4 linked regions of the Drosophila melanogaster genome follow. The protein of the gene in region 3 purifies or fractionates together with the protein of the main gene of each other region. This does not show direct contact. Each region holds a gene or a part of one and is shown on either strand. Other genes may lie near its edges. The genes, in order: CG9467, CG11267, Fim and Inos.

The links.
Region 1: the proteins of Fim (region 3) and CG9467 purify together in Drosophila melanogaster (affinity purification with mass spectrometry, with the first as the bait; one large-scale study listed by BioGRID). This does not show direct contact.
Region 2: the proteins of Fim (region 3) and CG11267 purify together in Drosophila melanogaster (affinity purification with mass spectrometry, with the first as the bait; one large-scale study listed by BioGRID). This does not show direct contact.
Region 4: the proteins of Fim (region 3) and Inos purify together in Drosophila melanogaster (affinity purification with mass spectrometry, with the first as the bait; one large-scale study listed by BioGRID). This does not show direct contact.

The regions. Positions count from the first base shown.
Region 1 is NT_033777.3:9,797,250-9,802,981, reverse strand, and holds CG9467 (uncharacterized protein), read left to right. Parts: upstream 1-1,955; 5' UTR 1,956-2,251; coding exon 2,252-2,313; intron 2,314-2,391; coding exon 2,392-4,522; coding exon of another isoform or gene 4,523-4,693; 3' UTR 4,694-5,213; downstream 5,214-5,732. Other genes in the region: CG8526 (uncharacterized protein), read right to left, coding at 1-1,068, 1,130-1,353, 1,406-1,502.
Region 2 is NT_037436.4:13,014,205-13,017,446, forward strand, and holds CG11267 (uncharacterized protein), read left to right. Parts: upstream 1-1,845; 5' UTR 1,846-1,957; coding exon 1,958-1,960; intron 1,961-2,152; coding exon 2,153-2,314; intron 2,315-2,382; coding exon 2,383-2,529; 3' UTR 2,530-2,699; downstream 2,700-3,242. Other genes in the region: MICAL-like, read right to left, coding at 1-933; mRpL20 (mitochondrial ribosomal protein L20), read right to left, coding at 2,989-3,145, 3,200-3,242.
Region 3 is NC_004354.4:17,285,629-17,293,518, reverse strand, and holds Fim (fimbrin), read left to right. Parts: upstream 1-1,849; 5' UTR 1,850-2,190; coding exon 2,191-2,268; intron 2,269-4,481; coding exon 4,482-5,592; intron 5,593-5,984; coding exon 5,985-6,263; intron 6,264-6,328; coding exon 6,329-6,582; intron 6,583-6,642; coding exon 6,643-6,846; 3' UTR 6,847-7,815; downstream 7,816-7,890.
Region 4 is NT_033778.4:7,454,388-7,460,522, reverse strand, and holds Inos (myo-inositol-1-phosphate synthase), read left to right. Parts: upstream 1-1,648; 5' UTR 1,649-1,785; coding exon 1,786-1,914; intron 1,915-3,675; coding exon 3,676-4,374; intron 4,375-4,446; coding exon 4,447-4,689; intron 4,690-4,753; coding exon 4,754-5,221; intron 5,222-5,291; coding exon 5,292-5,450; 3' UTR 5,451-5,601; downstream 5,602-6,135. UniProt on the Drosophila melanogaster protein: Key enzyme in myo-inositol biosynthesis pathway that catalyzes the conversion of glucose 6-phosphate to 1-myo-inositol 1-phosphate in a NAD-dependent manner. Rate-limiting enzyme in the synthesis of all inositol-containing compounds.

The sequences.
Region 1 (5,732 bases), on a different chromosome or scaffold from region 3:
TACCGGACAGCCGGCGGAAATTAGAAAGCAAACGCAGTTCAGTTTGCCCAGGAAGCAGGCCAGGTGCATGGCGGAGCGACCATCGCAGTTGGTGTCGCACAGATTGGCGCCGTACTGCTTAAGATCGCCCAACTTGTGGACATCACCTTCGGTGACCGCGGCCGCCACCAAAGCGGGATAGAATGTGGAGCACATCTGCTGCCGTTCCATCGCCGTCGACATGTGCAATGTGCGGGCCACGCCCTCGATCAGATCAATGTCGTTAATCTTGGCAACCTTATTGGTGGTCAGCTCTCCGCGCAAACTTAGTAGCATCACCTTCTTCTTGTTGGGAATGTCCCACTCCGGCTTGGACAGCACATAGGCCAGTTTGGTAAAGGCTGCCTCCTGAGTCATATCGTAGCCGGGTATTACGCCCACTTCCATCAGACCCTGGCTTGTCTCGTAAATGTTGGCCACCATGCCCGCCGAGCACTGCGTAATGTTGACAATAATAACGCCTCTGTGAACCGCCTCCCTCAGTTCGTCCAGCAAGTCCTCACGATTAACCGGAAAATTGCCGGCCCCAAAGGTCTGGAGGACAACACCTTTCGTTGGCTCTTTCAGGATTGCCTGCACCACACTGGCACTTATTCCCGGGTAAATACGCAGCAGCGCCACGTTCTTTTCGAGTTCCGAATGAAGTGAAAATGGTTTAATATTGCACGGTCGGAAGATTTGGCGGCTGTTGATCTCAATGTTGACACTCGCCCGACCCAATGGTGCAAAATTTGGTGAGTCCAGTGCGTGAAAAGAGTCAGAATTGAGCTTCGTGGAGCGACAGCCACGTAGAATCTTGTTGCCGAAGAAGACCAGCACTTCGGGTATACTGTAATTTCCTGCTATGAGAAGTGCGCCCAAGAAGTTCTCCCGCCCATCGCTGCGGGCTTCAAAGATCGGAATCTGTGCCCCAGTGAATACCACGGGCTTGTTCAGGCTCTCAAGCATGAACGCTAGTGCCGAGGCGGAGTAGGCTAGGGTATCCGTTCCATGGAGGATCACAAAGCCGTCGTAGGACTTGTATGTCTTCTGCGAAAAAAGTTAGTTGCATATTTTGTATTAACCTGATGATCCTCGACTCTCAACTTACTCCCACTTCGTTGGCAATGCGCTTCCAGTCGCAGAAGCCCATGCAGCTGGAGTCCATCAGTGGGCAGAACTCAATCAAATCGTAAAGGACTCTATACGGAGCTCCAGACACTGCGGGTAGCACCATCATGGGACCATCATTATCCTTGCTGGTGTAATTCCTGTCGTGGCAGCTGGGAAACTCTTGAAGCTGCCGAGCCAGCACCTTGGGCGCGGTGTGCAGTACTGATGAGAAACAATTGATTAGTACACGGACAAGAGCCATTGATATACCCACCTCCGGACTCGTTGCGGATCATTCCGATGGTTCCACCCACGTAGATGACATGGACGCGAGCCTCCTTCTTCAAACAACCGCACTTCGCCGCCGGCATTTTGGGCTTTTTCGAAATTTTGAGTGGTGTCCGAAACTAAACTAAAGCGTAGTTCCAAAGGCTCAGAGTGTGACAGCAAGATCCATGAGCTTTTTGTTTTGATGCTTAATACAAGTCATAACTTTACAATATTTTCAAATTTACCACCAAGCGAAATAAACCGTTGCTTGACGAAAAGGTGGTATGACCGTATTGCATGGGAATTTAACCGAGAGTTAGAGATGTACACTGCTTCACAAGAAATATCGTTGCTTATAATTGTGGAAATGCATATACTTTCTGATGCCCAAATTAATTTTATTTCTATATTAATTATTTTTTAATGATGAATTGTTGTTTGGAAACCATCAAAAACCTTGGTGAGTTAACACATACAAAATCAAAAGTGGAAAGTTCAGCAAAACAACTAAATGCAACAGGGACCCCCCGTAAACAGTGACTCGTCATGGCTGGGAACAGTCACGACCAATTTGCCCATCCCTAGTTTCTACAGTGCAGTGCAACAAATAATAAATAAATAAATAGCCTGGCACAAAGAGTTAATCGAATAAATTGCACCCCGCAGCGCACGTCAAGTGGGTTGGGTACCGAAATCGCGAGTTATCTGCTCCGCTGACGCCGCTGCCACTGCTCCGCCATATCAGTTGCTGATTGGAGCGCTGGGAGCACGGAAGCCACACAAATAGAGGCGCATTTAGAGCAATCCCCACCGTCCGCTGCTGCGGCAGCCCGCGGGTCATCGGATTGCCATGTCCCACTTCACGCATGCCTCCAGCAGCGACCTGGTCAACCTCAATGTGGGTGGTCAGCGGTAAGAACAAAGAACCAACACATTACGGCCCACTAACGGCATTGATGACGCATGCAAACTCCATCTCACTATCCATAGCTTTTCCACGTCGCGGCAAACGCTTACGTGGATCCCGGACACCTTCTTCACGGCTCTTCTCAGCGGACGCATCTCGAGTCTCAGAGACGAGCACAATGCCATCTTTATTGATCGCGATCCGACGCTCTTCTCGATCATACTTAACTACTTAAGGACCAAGGACATCGACATCAAGAACTGCGAAATACGCGCTCTGCGCCATGAGGCCGAGTACTATGGCATCACGCCGCTGACCAAGCGCCTGGCCCTCTGCGAAGACCTTAACCACTCGTCCTGCGGTGATTTGCTGTTCTACGGATTTCTGGCGGCGCCGCCCATGCCGTCAAACGAAGCTGTGGCTGCTACTAGCGTTGACGAGTCATTGCCCTCCACTTCGGCCAGTGCGATTGGCAGTCGTCCTGGGTCCATGGTGCGCGTTCCCGAACCCTCACGCTCCTCACACTCGCGCAATTCATCATGGGATCTGCGCCTTGGTCGCACAGGTAGCACTGGCAATGGTGCCAATCCCCCAGCTCCCATGTTGCACTCACGTAATCCCTCGATTGACTTTATGCGCCACTCTCGGAACTCCTCGGCCGATCTGAACAAAGTCTTTCGAAACGAAGTTGGCCTGGTATTCAGTCCCACGCAGAACTCAAACTGGGTGGACCCGTTGCGAGTGCAAATCATTAAGGCGCACCAAAATTGGATAGCAGTGGCTTACGCACACTTTGTGACTTGCTACCGGGTGAAAGACTCCAACGGATGGCAGCAGGTGTTCACATCGCCCCACATCGACGCCACTATCGAAAGAATCGCCATCAACTCAAAGGTGAATACTTCCGCAGCAGAGCCACTGCCCAGCAAGATGGTGGCCATTTCTTACGGCAGTCAGATAAGATTGTGGAGCATTCAGGAGGGCGGCCAGAAAACGGATGTGGGCACGTTTAATTTAAATGTGCGAGTGGAGTACCTGTTCTTTATCGGCAGTCAGCTGGTGGCCCTGTCATCTTCCGGCAAGATCGGCGTCTGGCATGCGATGACGCAGCACTGGCAGATTCAGGACCTAGTGCCCGTGCTCTCATTCGATTCCGCAGGCTCTTTTTTGCTGCTGGGCTGCAACAACGGCTCCATTTACTACATAGACATGCAGAAGTTCCCGCTCCGGATAAAGGACAATGATTTACTGGTTACCGAGCTCTACAAAGATGTCACACTAGACCCTATCACGGCCATCTCGGTCTACCTTACCCCAAAAACCTCGAGCATAAGTGGCAATTGGATTGAAATTGCCTATGGCACAAAGTCGGGAGCGGTTCGAATCATTGTCCAGCATCCGGAGACAGCTGGCCATGGACCACACCTGTTCGAGACCTTCTTTGTGCACCAAAGCCCCGTAACGAAGGTGATGCTGTCGGAGAAATACCTCGTCTCCGTGTGCAGCGAATACCACCACGTGCGAACATGGCGTCTGACCCGCTTCCGGGGCATGCTCTCCACCCAGCCGGGATCCACGCCGGAAGCATCGTTCAAAATCGTGTCGCTGGAAGCTACCGATACGAGCTACAGCTATGCGGCTGGAAATGATTTTGGACCTTACGGTGACTACGACGACATGATATTTGTGCAAAAGGTGGTGCCCGAGACGGATCAGCTGTACGTACGCTTGGCCTCCAACGGTGATCGGGTGTGCGTCATTAGATCCGTAGATAGCTCCACAATTTCGGCCTTCTGTGTGCTCGAGTGCGAGGTATCGTCCCGGTTCATACTCACCGGTCACTGCAACGGCGCTATTCAAATGTGGGACCTAACCACTGCACTGGCGCTGCTCTCCAAGGATGAGCCGCAGCAGAAAATCAATGGCGGACCCGACACCAATGAGCTTCTCCGCCTACTTGACCAGTGTGAAATCAGCAATTCATCATGCACAACACCTTGTATGTCACCGTGTCTATCAGCTATGGGCAACGGCTCTGGAATGGCCTCCTCCATAGCCCGCATGAAAGCCAGCAACATAGCCCTGCTAAATCGGGAACCAGCAATGGCAATGGCCGTCCAAGCCGTCCAGCCGCCCGCTCAGGTCCAACCTGCTCTTCCAGAGGCTGTGGCGCCGGCAGCTGCTATCCCGATGGCTGACGACAACAACGAATGAGACGTGGAAGCGGCTGCTTGATTGGCGCTTGTCGGGCGCGTTTCATCGTTTACATTTCACAGGTATAGCTTAATCTTCGACTACCAGTTTATATTCCTGCAGTTCGTGGTGTGCGCCCTCATCTACGTCTGGGTGACGCGACTCACCCGCGGTCCAGCCACTGGGCCGTGATGAACTGCCAGCAGGCATTTACCCAATCAATTAATCTCCATTATATGTGCTCGATGTGTTTGCAAATGCAATGTGTATCCCGTAAACCCATTTTTTGTGCTCCTCCAAACTTGGATCGTACAGTTAGTAATTTAAAAAAAAAACGTCTGTCTTTGTTCTAGTTAAAGTTATGAAAATTAGTTAAAACCATGTAAACCAGAGTATAAGACTTCTGCAACCGATCATCTATAATTAGCACAACTCTCCTAAAGGGTGCTCCATCAGGACAGATACGAAATCGTTCGGCTTGGATAAGATTGGTTGCCTTAAGCAAAGAAAGTTCATTAAACAGCCAATCAGTTGATTGTCAACCTTGAAGATGATTACTTGTGATTAAAATCGATAGAGCGACTGCTTCAAATTCGAATCTGTCCTGTTGCATGCAATGCCACACATGAATATAATGATACGCCTTGTTGCAACCAGTAAACAGCTATACATATTCAATATAAATAAAGATAATTATACACAAAGAGATATCAAAATAGCGAGCGAGTTGTGTCATCAATAATTTATTGAACATTTTATCTTAGTTTCTTGATGGTTGAAGTGTTCCATTAACATTTATCAAATACAAATACTTGGCTTGCATTCTCGTGGGTGTTGTGTGTGTAAATACGTGTATATACGATATCCTACGCCTATACCGGACCTCAGTAAAGTAAAAAAGCAGCAAAAACGCCAAAACATATAAAAATATATATAATATACATTTGTGTATTGTAGGTAAGTTACCCCAACCCAACCCCGACCGCCATTTAAATATCATTGGCCTAAACACAACCCACTAACGACCGCCGGTGTGCTTAATAAACAATTTAAACAAGTGGCTCGTCAAGTGGGACCCCTGCCTTTAATTTACCTAAAATAGGACGCACTGGTACTGAGATAGAATAATAATAATGGAGTAGATACTTGGAGCGATTACCCACCCTCGCCCGGAAGCAATTGTCGAGCCGTTCATACAAATAGTTTGTACACAAATTCAACCTAAAGCTAT
Region 2 (3,242 bases), on a different chromosome or scaffold from region 3:
AGGAGTTGTTGATTTATTATATTGTTCAATAAGGCCACCATCTTCTTCGTCTAGTGGAATAAAAGAGATTTTACGCTCCTCTGATAATATAGGGTTTACCGGATTAATAGTTAGTTCATTATTTTGTTCATCTTTGTTGGACGGCGGTTGGAAGTTTTCAGGCTTATCAGTAGTACGTATATCATTATCTTCCAGGTCTTCTTGTTTATCTTCAGCTTCAGAGTAATCAGAACTTTGTGCCACCATTTGTTTATCATTCGGAGAATCAGTAGTGGTTGTCTTTAACTTTAAAATGTCAGATTCCGGTTCACTTTCTTCATCGGGACAAGTCTCGCAACAGTATATGTTATTGACCTCCGTTTCATAAAAACTCCCGGGTGTGAGCAATGACGAACATCTTGCACATTTTAAGCATGTGCGATGATAAGCCCGTTTGCCGACAAGGACCCTTTCGGCGAGAAAAACAGGAAGGTTGCATTTCTGGCACTTATCACGTCGAGGCATCCCAACAATGTGCATCACCTTTTGCGGTGGCTCACTCTCTTCGCCAAGTGGCTCCTCTGGCTTCGGGTGCTTCAGGCTCTTGCCGAGCACCTTGTAAAACTGGGATAAATACGTTAGTATGGAGAGTCTATCAGGTACTTCATACGAAACCATGTCAGCTGCATCGAGCAGTGCGGGAATTCCCAAATATTTCTCGGCCGTTGTAAAGGCCAAATCGTTGTTCTCATAGATATCGTCTGCTTTAAGTCGGTCGAAATCTATAAGATCCGGCCGAAAGTGGTGTATTATGGCGCAGAAGGCAAGTCCATTTCGCCAGGAAGTGGTCATGTTCTCCACCTTGACCCCATTATATCCTTGGGTCACAACTCGGCACCAATACTCCAAAGCCTTCGTACCAGTTCCAACTTTTGTGCCACGACGATCAGACATTTTAGTGGGTTAATTGCTGGCTTATTGGCGAATATAACTAAACGAAAATAGCAGTCACAAACTGTAAACTAAGTGAACAACAAAAGCACATCGTGCCACTTGACTTGAGTAAAATCAAATAAGATTTATCTGGTACAAATTACATTAAATGTAAACAAGGCAAAACGGTGACTCAAATAAATCTCCCAATCAGATTTAGTGGTGGGAGTGTCAGCAGCTATCGATAGTTGTTTCGTGCTATTTTCCCTTCTTAAAAACAAGATGTTTAGAAAATTCTGAAATTTTTTAATTTTTCTCAGGAATGCCACACTTTTCAATTATTTTGTTGCTTGTCTTTATTGTCTTGCACTTTGCAACAGGGTGTAGTGTGAACAATCCGCTGCCAGAGTCAATCGATTTAAATCGCTAGTATCAATAGCAACTCCTTGGTTTGAACATACCTAATTTCGAGGAAGTAAACAAACAATTCTGTTTTATGTTTATTTTATATTATATTATATTTTAATATTAGTAAATTTGAAAAAATTAAAACACCAGTAAAGCCCAGAAGATTTCTGGGCTTCTGATTTAATTTCTTAAAAAACGATTATTTAGCTCAACAAAGATGAGAACAGAAAATTGCACAACATGTTTATTATAAATTAATGGAAATTAAATTAATATGTTTAAATTGCATATAAAAGGAGTAATTCCTGAAATTGGTATACAAGTTATTATGGAAGTCCACCCACCAGACTCATTTTCATCTTCATGTTTTATAGGAAATCAACTCGGCAATTACTTGGCGAAAAGTTTATTACCATTTTAAAAGTTATACACAACTATTAATTTTTGCATTGACTTCTCTCAGTGTATTCGAACAGAAAAAATTATTTCTCAATGTTATATCCGTGAAATAGCCTGGTCACACCGACGATAAGCAGTCCCGCATCTAGCGAGAATAGTTACGCCGGCACGTGTAGTTGAGTAAAAAGTTCACTCATTAACTTTTATCAACCGCTCCAGTTTGCATTTAAGAATTAAAATGGTAAGTTAAAAGTGCATTGCCCCATATGAGGTTTAGAAGACAGTTTGAAATCGAAGGATGATATCGGTTTTTCGAGAAGGTTCCACGGCTTTCGGTCCACATCCCATTCGCCGGGCTGTTGTGTAATCAATGAGAGAAACATGAAACATTGAAACATGGGTTAATTGTTGGGTCTTTTTTAATGATCCTCAGGCCGCCGCTATCAAGAAGATCATCCCCATGCTGGACCGCATCCTAATCCAGCGTGCCGAGGCGCTGACCAAGACGAAAGGAGGCATTGTTTTGCCGGAGAAAGCGGTGGGCAAAGTACTTGAGGGCACCGTTCTGGCCGTAGGCCCTGGCACCCGTAATGCCGTGAGTATTTCGCCATTATCAATGCAGAGATGGTCATCTAATCACTGAACATCCCACTTCATCCGCAGTCCACTGGCAACCACATTCCCATTGGCGTGAAGGAGGGCGATCGTGTTCTGCTGCCCGAATTCGGTGGCACCAAGGTGAACCTAGAGGGTGACCAGAAGGAGCTGTTCCTCTTCCGCGAGTCCGACATCCTGGCCAAATTGGAGTAGATCTCGCCTCCGGACACTGTCTCACAATTCTATGAATTCTATGCTTTTTATTAGTATGTAACACACCCACAAACCCGAAACTAAAAACTACAATAAAAGCTCATGCAATATTTTTGTTTGCATTGCGCATGGACCGTCATTGAATAAATTTCGAGTTACTTGTTAAAACTAGCAGCACAGGTGTTTTGTCATTAATCACATTTGTCATTTTACTCGAAAAAATATTGGATTCATTCGCGGAAAAGGTAGTTGCAGTAAATAAATTAATGATTTAGTATCAAATTTCATTCAGCAAGCAGAAGTTACGAATTATGTAACTAAATGTAAATACGAATTCGGAGTTAAAAACTAATCTAAAGAACAAATCCCAAACGATTTTACTCCCTTCAAAGTGAAAATTAAAGATTACACGTTTAAAACATACAAATATCTATATTTGAACTCCTACTTAAGGCTATGTTAATCCAACTTCAGGTTGCTCAGTCCATAGACCTGGTTAAATGCCGATCTCCGTTTGATGTCTGGCATTCCCTCCACAGCTGCCCGCTCTCGAGAGATCTTTACTAGAGCTTCAAAAGATCGCGGCTCCCAAATGGCGAGGTCGGATAGGACTTTTCTGAAAGATGTTATAGGTTGTTAAAGGATATGGGAATTTTCCGGTGGTACCCACTTGTTGAGCAGAATATCGGAGCGCGCGAGGCCCTCTTTGAAGG
Region 3 (7,890 bases):
GCTGTTTAATGCCCTTTTTTTCGAGTGTACATAGGTGAAGGGTTGGCAAACATCGGTGACACCAAAAGTGAACCCGTAGAAAGTTGCTTGGGGTCAGGCGTGTGCGGTTCTGGTGTTTGATTTCTTACTGCCAGTAAATAAGATACTTGAAAGTGGCTTTTAACAAATTTAAATGTGTAAATGAACGCGTTCCAATCAATGAAATGGTAGGCGTACTACAGGTGCTAATTAAGTGCAATATATTTTGTGAATTGAAGTACAATAAACTCATCTTATGAGGTAAATATTTGTTAAATTATTGCAATTTGGAGTAATTATCGAGGGGAAACAGTAAACTGTTTAGAAAGGTTAACGACCGATAGATTTACATACATATATCAGATATATTGTAATATAAATATGTATATATGTACTTAGCACAACATTTTCGATTGCAACCAATCTGATAGCATTACCTATAGGACTAAGCCCAGCTGCTCTTGCTCAAACTTGTGGATAGTATTATGTAACAACAACTGTTTTATAACAAAAGATGCGTTTGCTCAGCTGGGCTTATTCTCTTTAATTCGAAATATCGGTCGATCGAGGAGCGGCGACACTTACAAGCAAACAACAAAAGCCTTTGTATGTCCAGCGATTAGTCATCGCGAGTAACTGATCGATAACACTACTGGCCACTGTGCATAACTACACTGGGGAAAGTGTGCTCTTAAACTATTCGATTTTTATTATCTGCAAAGCTTATTTTTTTTAAGATATTTTGGCAGTCTTGAGGACTTTTTCTGAACACAAGATCCTTTAAAGTTTTACGTTAACCCCCTGGTTTTTATGTTCGAAGGAAGTTCTAAACGTTTATTGTCGCATTTCCTTGTCTTATCGCGCTTCGAACTTTTATTATCTTGGCTGGAATTAGATTTATGTTGTACAAGTTATAACCTAACCGAAATGACAATTGCCACATAATTCCCTCGCTGATATAATGGCTATTAAAAAACCAATTACGTTTAAATACCGTGTCCCTCTCTCAGGTACTTTTTACACTCATTTTCCCATTATCTCTCTATAAGTTCACCCGCCAAGTAGTATTGCATTTAAACGAAAACTTTTCGATGCGTAAGCAATTTGTTGAAAGCGATTTCGGACTTTTGAGAGTGTTGCGAATAGGGCTGCCACGTCACGCTAGAGACCGAAAATTGACAAGTGAATCAACTGAAATATGAACTAAAACTAAATTTAACTATCCAGGCAACGATTCATACAGCTTGCATAATTTCTTATAAGCTGAATCACTTGATCTACGTCACGTTTGTACATTCATGGTGTACAGTTTAACGATTTATTCACATGTAAAAAATGATAAACAAATAAGAGATTACGAAATAAATATTTTAAATTATGCTGCGATATGTTGCTGTTTGTATGTTATAATCACCCCGCATTTTATGGCGACTTGGCAACCCTGCTGTATTGTTGCACCTGGGAGAGAGCAAAAGAGAATGGCTAATATCATTGAAAGAAATAAAGTAAGGAGGGAACTGGATCTTGTCCCTTCCAGGAGAAAATTAAAATATATACCTAACAATGTTTCTTTATAGATGATTTCTGCACATTTACTGAACCTTTTACTTTGCCGTTTTTGAAACTAAGTAACTTTTTATCATAGTTTTTTTTTAGCGATACAGGATGACGCGTTTTCTAAAGGTGTTCGTCTGCCTCTCTTTGCACGGCTTCTCCCCTCTTTTACTCTCTCATTTACTGATAAGGCTCCGTTCGATTGGAGTGCTGTTTTTTGCCTCTGTTTTTTTGTGATAAAAGAAAAGGCATAAATAGTCCGTTCCACTGAACCACTCAATTAGTACTCAACAATAGCCCGTGGAAAGCGAATCAGCCAAAAAAGAAAGAAGAACGAAGAACGAGGAAGAAAGCAAGGAGTAGTTACAAGAAATATTTAATTAAAGCTCGCATCCTTGGCTCTCTCGCGCCGACTTTCTTTCGCTCTCTCCCGATCAATTGGAGATCTCTTCCGCTCGCGCACCACCCACTCTCTTTCTGACGCGTTTGTGCGTGTGTTGTGTACTTACTGTGTGCAAATCAATTAATTTTTTGTTGTTTGTTTGTTTTCGCAACGAAAACCAGAAGGAATATCGTAAATAATAAAATTAATTCCGCGTGCAAACATACATTGGAATAATGGCCGATATTCTCAACGTGGAGCAGCACCAAACGGTTCAGGAGTTCAAGCAGAATCTCGAGGAGCTCATTCCCAACGTAGGTGGCGCCACGGTCTCGACTACAGTGGATAACCGCTAAAGCAAACAACTATACCATACAAAAATATGCAATTAGGAACGCATATAAGGAAGATATCGCATTAAAGCATCTTTGAAAAATTGAATACGGATGTTAATTTTTAAATTCCTCACATACTTAAAAAAAACTTCGTTTTTAAATTGAGAGTCTTGAGTTGAACAGCCTTTAAAACGCTAATTTTGAATTTTTTATGACCCACAATTCACGTAATCACTCCCTCTCGATTTTGGTGTGTCTGTGTTTTTTTTTCGCCCTCTTTATTTTTCTGCCCTATCAACTTTTCTCGGAGCACTTTATAGCTTTTTAATCGATAACACCGACAGGTGCCACGCATACCAATACCCAATGCCAATAAGAGGGGCCTTTACAGTGAACACCTCCGATAAAGTGCACGCGCTTCAAACTGACCCACTACAGACCTCCCCCCGAAATTATGGCGAAAATCAGAATCACTTCCGTTCGATGTCAGTCAAATGTTGGCCAAAAGAATATCCCAGCTATCAGTCCGCTTGATAGTCTCTCTTTTGGCCAAGGACAACACCCTCGTTGGCTTAACGGTTTTCCCCCCGCGAAAACCCGTGAACCACCTATCATATCATTACCATACACGTAATCGTGTGCTGCTTTCGATTTTTTATGTTCATTTTTTGGCGCACAGAAATTTATCTTATCGACAAACAGCAAAAGCGGAGCAATCAACGCACCACTACTAAACCGAGTTACCAACCAGTGAGCCATAAATTCCACAGTCCAGTATATCAGCCGATCCAACTGCCCCTTTTCCCCTCAGATTTGTCCTATTTCGCACACCGAATATGGCGAAAATGTCGAACGTTTTATTATACCGTCCGGCTGAATACTTGGGTTTTCACCAATTTCGATATTTCGAATTGGGGGGTACCCATGGAAATCGCAACAATTTGGAGCAAAACTAACTAACTTCAAGCTTATTAAACTGTGGCATAGTTGAGGACTAAGCTACAATATGATTTTATGTGGAATATTAAACATATCAGCTGGGAATATTTTCAAAACATATTCCAAAATTATTATATTTTATTAAGAAAAAGTACTTATAATACATTATTACACGTTAAAATGTTATGTTTCCAAATAATTTAACCTTAATATTATTGAGTTAGGTTAGTTCTCAGTAAGTTTAAAAAGATAGTATACACTGCAACATAGATCAGCCACCGTTTTCAATGCTATTATAGTTTTAAACAAACGGGTTCGCATTTGTTAATTTAATTTTTCATTTTGTAACAACTTAAACCATAAACATAAATATTTCCCTTCGATGCCAACAATAAAAGCTTATCTAATCTAAATTATTTCAAGCATTTTGACCAAAAATCGCGTTTAAACCATTAAATATGACTAATAAATCTAAGTAAAGTGGTGAAACCCATATAATAATATATCGAATTGACTGGACTGTTTAATTATATAGCTCTTATATGTAAATCTGTTAAAGGAATCCCAGCTAGATTAAAATTAGTATTTAAAGTGGCCACCTCTTAGTCATTAAACTTTGCAAGAAATAATCAAGTCGGGTCCGAATCTCAAGTGTTTACAAACTGATTCATTCGTTCAGGCTTTCACTTCTTTAGTTCTTTTTTTTTTTTTTTTTTGTATATTTTCTCTTATTTTCTGTGGCGCCCACTCACGCTTTTGAACTGTATAAATTGAAGCGAACAATTTTCGATAATCAGCGATATGTCAGTCAGGTGGGAGATAAGACCCCTCGAACTGAAAACTGAAAAATGGAAATTAAATTCGATAAGGCTGGCACACAGACAATATAGCGATAAGGTTGCGGGAGATGGAATATAGCATTTTGCATTCCGAATTCCGCAGATAAAACAGGCACTGGAATGCGGCTGTGTGTTTGGCTTTCGGATTTGATTGATGACTCACAGATCGATCGTGGCAATAGGCGGCGGACAACTTACTCATGACCGGGGATTACTCATGGATCTTTCCTGTATTCAATTTGTATTGGTGTGCCCCTTAAGTCATTTTGAGTTCCGAGAAGGCCAGAAATTAAGTTTATGCCTCAGGAAAGGTCAATAATGTTTATGCCAATGTTAATGAAAACTGTCTAGATCTAATAGTTTTTGCAAATTGTTTTAAACCAATACTAATTAAAATCCCTCTCCTTCTTGTAGTTGGATGCCAACAAAGATGGCTTCATCGATCTGCACGAGCTAAAGGATGCCCTCAACCAGGTGGGCTTCAAGCTGGCCGGCTACCAGGTGCGCGAAATGATTGACGAGTACAAGGGCAAACAGCTGACTGCCTTCCAGGGCAAATTGAATCTGGAGGAGTTCGAGGCACTGTGCCTGGACCTGAAGAGCAAGGATGTGGCCAGCACATTCAAGACGGTCGTCTCCAAGAAGGAGAACTTGGAGACCCTGGGCGGCATGTCGAGCATTTCGTCGGAGGGCACCACCCATTCGGTGCGCCTCGAGGAGCAGCTGGCCTTCTCCGACTGGATTAACTCGAATCTGGGCCACGACAAGGATCTGCAACATCTGCTGCCCATCGATAGCGAGGGCAAGCGCTTGTATCTGAGCATCAAGGATGGTATTCTGCTGTGCAAAATTATCAACCACTCCTGCCCGGACACAATCGATGAGCGTGCGATCAACAAGAAGAACCTCACCGTCTACCGGGAGTTTGAGAACTTGACCCTGGCCTTGGTTTCCTCCCAGGCGATTGGATGCAACATCGTAAACATCGATGCCCACGATCTGGCCAAGGGCAAGCCACATCTGGTGCTGGGTCTTCTCTGGCAGATCATCCGCATCGGTCTGTTTAGCCACATCACCCTGGACAGCTGTCCGGGATTGGCTGGCCTACTCTTCGACAACGAACGTCTCGAGGATCTGATGAAGATGTCGCCGGAGGCCATCCTTTTGCGTTGGGTCAACCATCATTTGGAGCGAGCCGGCATCTCGAGGCGGTGCACCAACTTCCAGTCGGACATCGTCGATTCTGAGATCTATTCGCATTTGCTGAAGCAAATTGCCGGCAATGATGCTGATGTCAATCTGGATGCCCTGCGGGAATCCGATCTGCAGTCGCGCGCGGAGATCATGTTGCAGCAGGCCGCCAAGCTCAACTGCCGCAGCTTCCTCACGCCACAGGATGTCGTCAACGGAGTCTACAAACTCAATCTAGCCTTCGTGGCTAATCTGTTCAACAACCATCCAGGATTGGACAAGCCCGAGCAGATCGAGGGACTCGAGTCCATTGAGGAGACGCGCGAAGAGAAGAGTAAGTACTTAATATTTAGCCATACGTAAGATCGGTACAAAATACCGTTTTTATTTAATTGAAAATTAAACACAAGAAATCAAAGTTGATCAGGAAAAATCCAGGGTTTCTTATAAAAAAAATGTAGATATCAACTGCCACTTATATAGCATAATTAAAGCAATTATAAATATATATGTTTATCAATCGGCTTTGCACAAGAAGTGCAAGCCATAAAAACCGGGAATTTTTAGCTCGCAAGACCATTTATCACAAGAAGAATATAAGAATATAATACAATAATATATGTGTACTTATAAGAATACGATTACTTAGAATTATAATACTCAGGTGTTATATACATATTTGGAAAATATTTAACTTACACCAATCATTTCTATTTTTCTATCTAGCCTACCGCAATTGGATGAACTCAATGGGCGTGGCACCGCACGTGAACTGGCTTTACTCCGATTTGGCCGATGGTCTGGTCATTTTCCAGCTGTTCGACGTCATCAAGCCGGGTATTGTCAACTGGAGCCGTGTGCACAAGCGTTTCAGCCCGCTGCGCAAGTTCATGGAAAAGCTGGAGAACTGCAACTATGCGGTGGATCTGGGCAAGCAGCTCAAATTCTCGCTGGTCGGAATCGCAGGCCAGGATCTAAACGATGGCAATGCCACGCTGACGTTGGGTAAGCATTGCTATTCTAATTGTATTTTTGGATGTTACCAATTCTGAACTATCTTATGGTTACAGCTCTCATCTGGCAGCTTATGCGTGCCTACACCCTGTCCATTCTGTCCCGCTTGGCCAACACTGGCAACCCCATTATCGAGAAGGAGATCGTCCAGTGGGTGAATAACCGACTGTCGGAGGCAGGCAAACAGTCGCAGCTGCGTAACTTCAACGATCCGGCCATCGCCGATGGCAAGATCGTGATCGATCTGATCGATGCCATCAAGGAGGGCAGCATTAACTACGAGTTGGTGCGCACTAGCGGAACACAGGAGGTGAGTCCTGACTATGTCATGATATGTGGCAGACTAAACTAGCGCTTATTGATTCCGCAGGATAACCTGGCCAATGCCAAGTATGCCATCTCCATGGCCCGCAAGATCGGCGCCCGTGTCTACGCCCTGCCCGAGGACATCACCGAGGTGAAGCCGAAAATGGTGATGACCGTTTTCGCCTGCATGATGGCCCTCGACTACGTGCCCAACATGGACAGTGTGGACCAGAACAACCACAACAGCTCCGCCAACAACAGCAATTAGGCGCCATAGCCACAACTCATTTATACATAAACAAAAGGATGGGATTTTGAAAGGGAAGAACAGAGTGGGAACTACGTAAATTTGTCGTATTCGCTAATTACTAATAACTCTATTCGATTGCGTTCCTTCCTGCGCTACCAATACATTTTTGTGTTTTTTTTTTATTTCAATTACTTTTTGTAATTTTTTTATTATATATTTATATATTATATAATTGAGTATGAGTTTCCCCCTATTGTAATTAAGCAAACAGATTTTAGAGTGTCGCACATCTGTTTTCGAGCCCGGCGGGGTGTTTCTTAATTAGTTTTGTTTAACAATTGATTAATTATACAACTGTAACCTTATTTTATAAATAAAGGTTTAGCTTGTTCCGCTTAAAATCCTTAAAAGAAAAGAATGGTGAAACAAAAGAAAGAAAAAAAAAGCGACTTGTGCAGGATTAAGAAAGAATTATAATATTAACATTGCGACGAAAACAATTAACTCTGTAATATATATACATATATATTTATATACGATTACGATATGCGTCTATATACATAACATATAAATTTACATAAATCGATATATTTTTCCATAAACGCGTTGCCTAAAGAAAGATAACGAACGAAGATCAGGAATGGGGAATATTCAGAAACAAAAGAAGTCGAGAAAAACAGAGAAACTAATTTTATATTTACTATAAATTTTTTTGCGAGTAATTGTAAGACGCCTTTGTTTATGTGTTTTTTTTTCAACGTGCGTGTTTGTTCAATTTCTTTTTACATATTTGTATAATTTTGCGTTTAAGTGCGTTAGAGCGAGGTGGCAATAGGTATCGCCAACACGGCGTAGAAAGAGAGGGCAACAAACATTTTTAGTGCAATGAGGCGACATACAAATCCAAGAGAAAAAACGAATTAAGAAGAAGATGAAGTAATATTATATGCAGAATAAAAGTAAAACAATAAAGAAAATAAAAATACCAATATAAAAGCCGTTTCACTTAATAAGTCATAATTCTGTGAAGTTATCAACATAAAGTCTTGGGAGATATTTTCA
Region 4 (6,135 bases), on a different chromosome or scaffold from region 3:
TGGAATTTACATACATAAGTGTACATAATATTAGACGTATACTGACCCCACCAGTATCTACACAAATACATATATTTCAAATATTAGCCTTTATTTAATGTTATCGTACGCTTGTTTAAGATATTTAAATACTTTATGTATTTGCTACTCAAGTTCAAGGTCGCTTTGCAATCTCGAAATACATTTATTTGATATAAGTGCAAACATTTCGTCCAAAGGGTGCCCCCCAGCAGGAAATGGATACGGACTGATACCGAGTATTTGGTTGTTGCTTTTTTCTGGAACTATATGCCAGACTTGAGCCGCCGATAGAGTTGCATGTGAGGGAAACGAGACGCCCACGCCCACACCCACTGCAGCATGTGCCCGGTCTGCTGATTGCTCCAGCGGGGCAATTCGGTATGGAACCTTCTTGATCTGCAGTGCAAACGGAACGGCCCACTGCATTGATTGATCAACAAATAGTAATTCGAGCTCCCTTCGCACTCAATTGGCTGCAATAATGGAAAGTTTTGAGAAGTTTCGCTTACATCTGGCTTCCAGAAGATTCGACGAAGCCTTCGGCCTGCTCTCACGGGAAGACTTAGCTAAATGGTACCGGAGAATTGAATTCTACTCATGCATGTGTGCAGTTCCAATCCAACAGATGGTACTGAGATTTTTGAAATTGATTATAATTATGATGATGTAATGATGTAGGAATACTAATTAAAGATTATTCAAGCGAGGCTAAGGGATCTTTAAGGCCTGTCAGTATAGGATTGTATCTATGTATGGAAATAAAATATAAAAACAAAAGAGAACGCTTTAGTCGATCTCCTCGACTATCAGATACGAGTTATTGAGCTAGTGGGAATGCAAGGGAAAATTTGAGAATTTTTTGGCATACTGATAAAAATTGGCAAGTAAAATCGCACCGGTCAAAATATTTTTGAAAATTGTAGGCGTGGCCAGAATGCATGCTTACTCTTTACTTTCTAGCTTCTATAGTTCAGGTGATCCTGCGCTCATACGGACAGACATACGGGCATTACCAGATTGACTACGCTAACGATCCTGATCAAGAATATAAATATAAATATTCGCCAATATTTTTAAACATAGTTCACTTTTTCAAGCCCTTTTGTTACCAACGTTTTTAAAAATAACATCAACTGTTTAAAAAAAAACAAATATGCCTAGACTTTAGCTTTTATAATGGATTTGCAAATATTCTCTTCTTAAGAATTGAGTTTTGAGTTTTATTTCTCATTTCCGTTCATACCACTTTATTTGAACTAAAAGTACTCTTCATAATTTTTACGAAATCGATCAGATTTTTTTATAAAGCGTTACAAACCATTTGAGAATAAGAGCAAGTGGGAAATTCCACGATTGAACCATTTCCTCGAATTCAAACTCAATTGGGCACTCAATGAATTATGGAAATAGGTGTACTACGATCTCCGGCTGGAAAGAGGCGGACAGAAGGACTCCGCGATGCTCGCTAAGAAATCCCACGCTTGCCGGAAAATTTCCGATATCATCTGGTTCCTATAAGTGCGCCGCAGAGCGTTGTGGAGAGTATATGCACATATCGTACATGAGTCGCGGAATAAGAGAGTGCGCCTCTGCCCGCGGGAGACCATAAAAGCGGCCCGATTTCCACTCAGCCGAGTCATTCGCCGCGAACTTTTGCCTCGACCACATCGCAGTCTCTTTTGCAGAAGCCAGGAATTCCAGAAGCAAGCACATTGAAACGCGCTAATTGACAAGACGAGAGTGTGTTAGCAAAAACATCCCAGAATGAAGCCCACCAATAACTCAACCCTGGAGGTAATCTCGCCGAAAGTGCAGGTGGACGATGAGTTCATCACCACCGACTACGATTACCAGACATCCCATGTGAAGCGCACCGCCGATGGACAGCTCCAGGTAGGTCCAATCGTCAAGGGATTGCTTATCGAACCATGGGCACTAGTTGATCGGAAGCATCATCCACTTGAATGATATTGATATCGAATGTGGTGCGAACAGTCATTTTCCGGCTGACCTTCACATTGAACTTTTCCAACAGGCGGGATGGATAAGCTCTCCCGCTCAAATGCGCACTCGCCTGCACTCGGAGAAAAATATTTCTCACCTGGATGAAGAAATAGTGGTTTATTTTGTTTCGAGTCCAGCATAGGCCACCTATGACTAATTGCATTCTATTTTACAAAACAGAATCTTATAAATTTTAATATAAATCTGTAACAAGCAATGTTTAAATTATGAACTTAATGAAAAGGCCATTTAACCATGTTAAAGTTATTTGATTAATTTCGTACTATAAATTAAATTGTGAACATCCTTAACGTATCACATCCAAGCACAATTAGTTTAAAATCTTAACTAAGAGTTAGCTCGTTATAGCGTAATGAACTGAAACTTGCTACCCCAATATAAGCGTTAACTTAGCAACTAAATTGACCCAGTGAAACTTTCCATTATCCAGCAAAGGACCGAGCTGTGCCGAATTCTCGGAGTCCATAGGGACCACTCCCCGGAATCGCAAAAGACAAAAATAGCGATAAGAGAGAGGGCCGGCCTCCTATCCAATCGCACTCACACAGGCGGGGCGTTACAGTTACAATTTATTGATTGCTCAGCTGAACAGCTGACGACAAATACGGCCGATAGATATCTCGTCACTATTCCGGACCGAGCGCGAGTGGCGTGATTTTATGCGCAGGCGCCTTTTCGGCCGCTCGAATGGCACCTAAATAAATAGGAATGGGGCTGGTGCACCCGACTAGAAACCCAATAGCCCATTTTTCCAAGTGATTGTGGTCGCGGTACGTGCTCTGTTTACACCGCCTGCAAACAATACACTCCACCCATCAACCATCTCCCTTCGCCCACTTCCCTCCCACGGACACTTGCTGCGCCTCAAGGTCACTGTCAGGCGATGCCCGCGAAGAGAGCATCTAATGTAAAGAGAGAAAGAGCTCCTCTCTTAGCCGGCTGAAGAAATGTGATAATTTCGCAGGCCGGCAAATGGACATCTTGTTATCGGACTTTGGACCAACACGTTCCCAAATTATTATTTCATCAATATCATTTCTTATTCATCAGTTTATACTATATGACATGTTTGTGGTTCAAATCAAAGAGCGCGTTGACTCGGCAAAAACAGAAATCGAGCAAGAACTGCCCAAATCAACAACACCCAAATGCGGTTATACGATCGTGCGATACCTCTTACGTGTAAATAATGCATTTGTTATTTGTTTCATCCGATGATAACATAACATATGAAACTATTACAGACCATAGAGATTTCGCGAAATTTGTTGTATGAAAATTTATTGTACCTTTGTATGCTTATATAATACCATTTTCCTGGGTACTTTAATACTTCATATAGTTCACTTACACCTATATCATATTGTAACATAAGATAGGGTTTTAGTTTCATCGAATTAAATCGATGTGTTGCCAAGAGCACCCAATCGCAGATATCCCCGTTGGCAATATCAGGAAGGGGTGAATTTCAGGTTTGCTTCGCAGAAATCGCGCGATCATAATTTATGCGGCTACCTGACTTGGGTGGCTAATGTGAAATATCGATAAGGTGGCCGGACCTATAATAAGACCAAACGGGTTGTGCCATTGCTCCTGCTTATCGGCTCTAATCACCGATCGATCTTGCAGGTGCACCCCCAGACGACGTCGCTGAAGATACGGACGGGTCGCCATGTGCCCAAGCTGGGCGTGATGCTGGTGGGATGGGGTGGCAACAACGGATCCACGCTGACCGCCGCCCTGGAGGCCAATCGTCGCCAGCTGAAGTGGCGCAAGCGGACGGGCGTCCAGGAGGCCAACTGGTATGGTTCCATTACACAGGCGTCCACCGTCTTCATTGGATCCGATGAGGACGGCGGTGACGTGTACGTGCCCATGAAGGAGCTGCTGCCCATGGTGGAGCCCGACAACATTATCGTGGATGGCTGGGATATCAGTGGCCTGCATTTGGGCGACGCCATGCGCAGGGCCGAGGTCCTAGACGTGGCTCTGCAGGATCAGATCTACGATCAGTTGGCTCAGTTGCGCCCACGTCCATCCATCTACGACCCCGACTTCATCGCGGCCAATCAGTCGGATCGGGCTGACAACGTGATCCGTGGCACTCGTCTGGAGCAGTACGAGCAAATCCGGAAGGACATCCGCGACTTCCGCGAGCGCAGTGGCGTCGATTCGGTCATCGTCCTCTGGACTGCCAACACGGAGCGCTTCGCGGATGTCCAGCCTGGTCTGAACACCACCAGCCAGGAGCTCATCGCCTCCCTGGAGGCCAACCACTCGGAGGTGTCACCCTCCACGATCTTCGCAATGGCCAGCATCGCCGAGGGGGTGAGTTATTCTCCTCCATTCTATTGATAAGCAAGACTAATTACCTAATCCACCATGTATCCACTTCCACAGTGCACCTACATCAACGGCTCTCCGCAGAACACCTTTGTGCCCGGACTGATCCAGCTGGCCGAGGAGAAGAATGTTTTCATTGCCGGCGATGACTTCAAGTCCGGTCAGACCAAGATCAAGAGCGTGTTGGTAGATTTCCTGGTGGGAGCTGGTATCAAGCCGGTGTCCATTGCCAGTTACAACCATCTGGGCAACAACGATGGCAAGAACTTGTCCGCTCCTCAACAGTTCCGCTCCAAGGAGGTAAGAGTCCAGCCAGGATTTCCAGGATTCCTCCTCTTATTAATAATAACTCCTCCTCCGGCAGATTTCCAAGAGCAACGTGGTGGACGACATGGTTGCCTCCAACAGGCTGTTGTACGGACCCGATGAGCACCCCGACCACGTCGTGGTAATCAAGTACGTGCCCTATGTGGGCGACAGCAAGCGGGCCATGGATGAGTACACATCGGAGATCATGATGGGCGGCCACAACACCCTGGTGATCCACAACACCTGCGAGGACTCGCTGCTGGCCACACCGCTCATTCTGGACCTGGTTATCCTCGGCGAGCTGAGCACTCGCATCCAGCTGCGCAATGCGGAGAAGGAATCCGCCCCGTGGGTTCCCTTCAAGCCAGTGCTTTCCCTGCTGAGCTATCTGTGCAAGGCTCCACTGGTGCCCCAGGGCTCCCAGGTGGTCAACTCGCTCTTCCGCCAGCGCGCCGCCATAGAGAATATCCTGCGTGGCTGCATTGGTCTGCCGCCCATCTCACACATGACCCTGGAGCAGCGGGTAAGTAGGGTCAAGTCAAAAGCAATCATTCGGATCCTTAATATCCTCGATTTCTTCTTTCTATTCACAGTTCGACTTTTCTACCATTACAAATGAGCCGCCTCTAAAGAGGGTCAAGATCCTGGGCCAGCCCTGCTCCGTGGAATCGGTCACCAATGGAAAGAAGCTCCATGCCAATGGACACTCCAATGGGTCCGCCAAGCTGGCCACTAACGGCAATGGTCACTGATGGATGGCCGCATCCCTGATTTTCGATCGGAATATATAATTGGAATATATATGGTTTTAGTTGGATAAACTACGAAATAGACTTAAGCTACTATTACTAACTGAATCGTTTAAATATAAAAAGGCGTAATAGACTGTTGTCTGTATACCACAAAACAAATATTTATTTCTTATGAGCACGATCATATCATATCATATCTTAGAGATCATGGAGTTTACTGGATATGGAACACATCTTCAAATGTTTGGGAAACAACAATGGAAGGAAGTTCCTGCATTGAAATACTTAATTAATATCCACGTTTAGCCTAAAATTTAGTTCTCGAAGATTATTCAAAAGTTCTTAGTATGAGTAAATTTTAGTTTAAGATGGGTAAATAATAACGACGTTTGTTTGGTACAAATAGTTTAGTTATTATCATATTAGAAGCTTTTTGTTCTCATATTCCAATTTCATTTTTTTGAAGGCATGAAAATAACATGAAATAGAAAAAAAAATGCCACCTTTTAGGCGAAAAACGCTATCTGTTGTGGTCTTGCTGCTAAAAATGTCAACCTTTTTTTCTGACAGTTGAATCGGTTTGATCCCGATGATTGTTGCTAAATATTAAAGTATAAAATATTATATGAGTGTTAAATTATGTCCGGTAAGACACTTTATTTTAATAAAGGTAATCGATCGTTGA